2 linked regions of the Saccharomyces cerevisiae S288C genome follow. The protein of the gene in region 1 binds, or shares a complex with, the protein of each later gene. Each region holds a gene or a part of one and is shown on either strand. Other genes may lie near its edges.

Region 1 (2,920 bases):
TACATATACATATATAGATTTATATGACGTTTCCGACGCATACTGGTGAACCACTTTCTTTTTAGTGAATAGCCTCATTATGCAGTTTCCGGTATTTTTTTTCCGTTGCTTCAGCTACGGGATTTCTTCGATGCCATTGAAAAATAAAGTTGTGTTCAATGAGAATATGGAAAGAAAAGACACTTTTTACCAGCTGATCTTAAAAGTTTTGTCTGCTTTATTACTTCTATCGGTAAGAAACTCGAGTGGACATACGAGACACTTTGTGCAGTCGTCGGAGAAAATTTATAGGCGATCACTCTTTAAGCAATAAGAAAGTTTCACGTATATTATTGAATAATACATTAATCATATTGTATATCGGTGGTTGTACAAGGAAAGAGCGAGCCTGCACAAAATGTATGTTGATCCGATGAACAACAATGAAATCAGGAAATTAAGCATTACTGCCAAGACAGAAACAACTCCAGATAACGTTGGACAAGACATTCCTGTAAACGCACATTCGGTGCATGAGGAATGTTCTTCCAACACACCCGTGGAGATAAATGGAAGAAACAGCGGAAAGTTGAAAGAAGAAGCGTCTGCAGGTATTTGTTTGGTTAAAAAACCAATGCTACAATATAGAGATACCTCAGGAAAGTATTCCCTAAGTGACTTTCAGATTTTAAGAACTTTGGGAACTGGCTCATTTGGGAGAGTTCACCTAATTCGTTCCAATCACAATGGGAGGTTTTACGCTTTGAAGACATTGAAAAAGCACACTATAGTGAAGCTGAAGCAGGTTGAACACACCAATGACGAACGCCGAATGCTTTCAATTGTTTCACATCCATTCATCATTCGAATGTGGGGAACGTTCCAAGATTCTCAGCAAGTTTTCATGGTAATGGACTACATTGAAGGTGGTGAATTATTTTCTTTACTACGTAAATCTCAAAGATTTCCCAACCCAGTAGCCAAATTTTATGCCGCAGAGGTATGCTTAGCGTTGGAATATTTGCACAGTAAGGATATAATATATAGAGACTTGAAACCAGAAAATATCCTTCTAGATAAAAACGGCCATATCAAGATAACCGACTTTGGCTTCGCAAAATACGTTCCCGATGTCACATACACATTATGTGGCACACCAGATTACATAGCGCCGGAAGTGGTCAGTACAAAACCGTATAATAAATCAGTGGATTGGTGGAGTTTTGGTGTGCTAATCTATGAAATGCTTGCCGGATACACTCCATTTTACAATTCGAACACCATGAAAACTTACGAAAATATACTGAACGCCGAATTGAAGTTCCCACCATTTTTCCATCCAGACGCGCAGGACTTATTGAAGAAGCTAATTACCAGAGACTTAAGTGAAAGGTTGGGTAACTTACAAAATGGAAGTGAAGATGTCAAGAACCATCCGTGGTTTAACGAAGTGATATGGGAGAAATTGTTAGCAAGATACATAGAAACGCCGTACGAACCACCAATCCAACAGGGCCAAGGTGACACTTCTCAATTTGACAGATACCCTGAAGAGGAATTCAACTATGGAATTCAAGGGGAGGATCCATATATGGATTTAATGAAAGAATTTTAAGGAGGTTCAGTGGGATAATTGTAATTGAAAAAAAAAAAAAATCAATAAAAGTAAAAACAAGAACAAGAAAAAGCACAAACAAACCTGGTTATAGATTCTTGGTGAGTCTAACAGGGCCATGATAAAAAAGTGACACATGCATATATGTACATGTATATATCTACGTACGTCTATTCAATAGAGGTGTATACAGATAAATAAAGGAGCATTCATATACGCCATATTGTGACTACATTTGCGTCCTCAGAAGACTGGGACGTTCAAAGTGATCTAGGACTTTTCACCCAGGGAAAACAGGATATCTGTAAGAATCGGCCATAAAACTCATTAATAGAAGAACAGTATAACATAAGTGAGCCTGCTACAATAAGAAGATGTCTAAGGTTGCACAACAGTTAAAATTTTTGAATAAAATTAGCGCCACTACCAGACTACCGCAGATTCTAGTCGATCCTAAAAAATACTCAGGTCTTAGATTGACTTTTCAAACGAAAAACCACAATGGACATATGGGTGCCAGAGTTTTTTGGCATAACTACCTACCCACTTTGCAGTTCTATAATCCAAGAATGAAGTTTGACGTGATAAGGATAAAGAACGAAGACAAGCAAAAAAGCGTTCCATGCAAACTGGAGATTTTATCTCATGAAGGCTCCGTTGTAGAGACTATTGATATGCGTAATAAAATGCATGAAGATATAATGAAAGACTTACTTGACAAAATAGAGCACGTTCCTCTTCCTGAAAATGAGATCATAAGAGTTGGACCGCAAGAAAGTATTATATAAGCTTTCTCTCGATAAGTTTGTTCATGTATATATCAAAAAACATTGCCCTTCATGGAAATATGTAAATTCAAAACTCACTTATGGGGCATATAAGTATATAATTTAGAGTACAATAAGTAGGATTGTGCTGAATATTGTCAGCCCTTGGGTCCCTTTTTTTGCCCTCCGCGTATTTCTTGTGGAAAATAAGGAAATTTCATTTTCACTTCAACTAGCTAGTTTAATTGCATGATGGACTCAAAAACATTGACAGCATCAATGGTAATGCAGGAGGAGAAGAAGCGGCAACAACCTGTGACAAGAAGAGTAAGGTCATTTTCTGAGTCCTTTAAAAACCTTTTCAGGCCGCCTCGTTCAAGAGATTCAAGTCCTATTAATGTCACCCGAATTCCTTATCGATCGTCTTCTACCTCACCCAAGAGAAGCTCTGAGCCACCAAGACGATCAACCGTATCCGCACAAATTTTAGATCCAAAAAATTCTCCAATACGCCAGCGTAGTTATACATTGAAGTGTTGCACCCCGGGCCTGTCACATC
Region 2 (3,013 bases), on another chromosome or scaffold:
TCCCCCATTTAACATCCGAACAAATCGCAAGTTTTCTCTCTGCATTAACTAAACAATACAAAGACTTAGTGGTCTTCAAAGGCACTTTGAGGGACTTTTTGGTGCAAATCAAAGAAGTCGGAGGTGATCCAACAGATTATTTGTTTGCTGAAGATAAAGAGAATGCATTAATGGAACAGAATAGACTAGAGAGGGAAAAAGCTGCCAAGATTGGTGGGTTATTAAAACCTTCCGAACTTGATGATTAGAGGCGGTGGCGTATCATTCTTTAAATTTCCAATATTTTTTCCCTTTTATTAACTAGTCTCTAATTTATAACCACGGGGTTTTCATTTCTTTTTCACTTCATATTGTATGTAAATTGGTTCTTCAAAGTTCCAATACTCTAATATAGTACTAAATACTATTTAGCCAACTTCATGGAAAAGTAAAGAATATTATTTGAAGATTCTTAAGTGATTACCCATTTTATTGTTATTATTGATGTATGTACATGATTGTAGTAAAATACTTATACGCCTTATGCTCAAGTTTTTTTGATTGCATCTTGAATTTTAACGAAACTGTTTTTGGGCCCAGCCACAGAGCCTTTAACCCAAATAACATTATTTTCATCGTCGACTTTCAAAACTTTAACATTTTGGATAGTAACATGCTCGTTTCCCATATGACCAGGCATCTTTCTTCCTGGCAGTACCCTACCTGGGTCTTGGTTTTGACCATAAGAACCACCGTGTCTATGCATAATAGATGTACCATGAGATGCTCTCAAACCCTTGAATCCATACCTTTTCATCACACCAGTAAAACCTTTGCCTTTGCTGACTGATCTGACGTCAACATATTGGCCTTCTTTGAAAAAAGAGGGTTTCAATAATGTGCCAGGTGGTATTAATCCCTTTTCATCTTTAACTCGGAATTCGGCCACATGCTCTTTTGGGTTAACAACTTTAGAAGCGAAATGACCAAGCATTTGTCTGCTAACTTTAGACAAATGCCTTGATCCGTACCCTACTTGACACGCGAAGTACCCATTGACCTCCGAAGTTCTATGCATTATTACTTCAACATTATTAACTTCTAATATAGTAGCGGCGCTTCTTTCACCAGTAGATTTATCAAAATAAGGCATCATTCCCTTCTTACGAGTAATTAAACCGCATCTTTTTGGTAGCCATTTTCTCGCATTTGCCAGTTCAGGTGAGTGATTAATCGCTGGAGCCTCGGTTGTTATACTGTTAGCAATACTAGGAGCCACTAGAAAAGGCCGAGTAGAAGAATATCTAACATGAAGTTTTGATATGCTAAATATTGATCCCTGTAGGAACTTCGACATGGCTATATTTGTTCTCTCTTGCTTTCAAAGAGTTGCCCTTTCTCGTCCCAGTTGTCAATTTATCGTCCATATATTTTTCAATAAAGTTCGTTTGACAAGGGATTACCCGAAAACAAATATCTCGCGACTGTAATAGGAGAAATGGCATTAGCATTTCAATTAAGGAAAGAAGAGGATCATCGAGAAACGAATTTATGGTGCTTATTTACTGTTACAACATTTCATGATTTTGAATTTTATTTATACATGTACATTCTCGTACGGTGTTATTTCGTAATTATGGGATGTGCCCAGTTGCTTCCTTAAGTCTTCCGTAGAAGCTTTAAAAGGTAAGATTTCCCCCACACTAGGAGGCTGCAAGATGTCAGTGTCATCCAATAACCCACTAACACGGAAATTTATTGCATTTGACAACGTTGACGGCGGTTGTGATAAAGAAGATGATGTTGTAGTGGATGAGTTACCAGGGAGATATTGGGCCTTTATTAAATTTCTTAAAGATCCTGCAGGCTTATAGCGAGGTTTCATAGAAAGTTCTGATGGGTTGGTCATAACAACACTTTGTCTAAGCTGATATGGAAGGGGCGTACAAAATTGCTTTGTCAAAGATGTTGACGGTATTTTCGTAGGCGAACTGTAAAACATTTCAGGATGATCCATTGGATTCAACGCTGTCCCATTAAGCCTAGCTGTAGGTACATGTTTTAGTGTTTTTGGAGGTTTAGGCCTTCCTTTGAATGACGTCAAGGAATGCGAAGAGGTGGAATAAATGAATTGGGTAGGCGTGGGCAAATCTCCGATGTTCTCATAATTTTGAGGATGTTCTAACGGGAGGGGATAATTATAGTAGTAATTGTCATCATTGCTCTGGTTGCAGTGATCTATAAAATATGTAGAATATTGCTGAGCAGAAGTAAGATTTGACTGACCCGAACCCTCCGAAAGGGCCCGTACGGGAGCCTTTGCAGAGTGAATATGGTCCTTAGCGACCGTGTCAGAATATATTGATGAGGTAATTCTCGTTGAAAGACCATTCGGTGGTGGGAATGTAAGAGATAGAGACGATTCGGGAATCACTTTTTCTCTGGTTGCTACTTCTGAATATACTGACGATGCAATGTTTTTATTCTCTTGTGGTGCCGGCACTTGCAGATAATCAGTTGCATCTTCATATTCCTCATTGGCGCTGGAACTGGAATCAATTTCTTGGACAGTTGTACTTCCGAAGTGACTCTGTTCAATTAATGTAGTATCATTTGGATTGTCTTGAGAGCTCATATTTACACTTTTTCTTGTAGCGATGTTTAATTTAGAGTCACGCCGTATCGAAGAAGTTACAGAGGATCGTATCGTGCTATTACTTTTCTCAAAATAAATGTTATAAATGCTTCTTATTCTGTCAATATTTTCTTCCTCCTCTCTCGAACACTGAGGCTCGAGCCCGCTACGACTCGTATAATTCGATTTAAGTCGATTATCGTTGTTATGGCTGGACTTTTCATTTACATCAGGATTTGACGTACTATCACATCTTTGATCACAGTCTTGCCCAGTATTTGAGTGTTGTGGTGAAACAATCAGCTCAGAATTCTCTAACGATTCGAAAGAAATCTTATTCGAAAGGTCAATGTGCTTGGAGGGGACCGATAACTTGCTGTTATTCTGCGAAGCCAGTGA

What was found. Proteins that work in one complex are often made in the same cells at the same time.
Region 2: MRP49 (region 1) and MRPL9 share a complex: the UniProt entries of both Saccharomyces cerevisiae proteins name them as parts of the mitochondrial large ribosomal subunit.

What each region holds. Positions count from the first base shown.
Region 1 is NC_001143.9:133,183-136,102, reverse strand, and holds MRP49 (mitochondrial 54S ribosomal protein mL61 MRP49), read left to right. Parts: upstream 1-1,968; coding exon 1,969-2,382; downstream 2,383-2,920. Other genes in the region: cAMP-dependent protein kinase catalytic subunit TPK3, read left to right, coding at 398-1,594; putative serine/threonine protein kinase KKQ8, read left to right, coding at 2,641-2,920. UniProt on the Saccharomyces cerevisiae protein: Component of the mitochondrial ribosome (mitoribosome), a dedicated translation machinery responsible for the synthesis of mitochondrial genome-encoded proteins, including at least some of the essential transmembrane subunits of the mitochondrial respiratory chain.
Region 2 is NC_001139.9:935,548-938,560, forward strand, and holds MRPL9 (mitochondrial 54S ribosomal protein uL3m MRPL9), read right to left. Parts: upstream 1,337-3,013; coding exon 527-1,336; downstream 1-526. Other genes in the region: exportin CRM1, read left to right, coding at 1-248; TOS2 (Tos2p), read right to left, coding at 1,577-3,013. UniProt on the Saccharomyces cerevisiae protein: Component of the mitochondrial ribosome (mitoribosome), a dedicated translation machinery responsible for the synthesis of mitochondrial genome-encoded proteins, including at least some of the essential transmembrane subunits of the mitochondrial respiratory chain.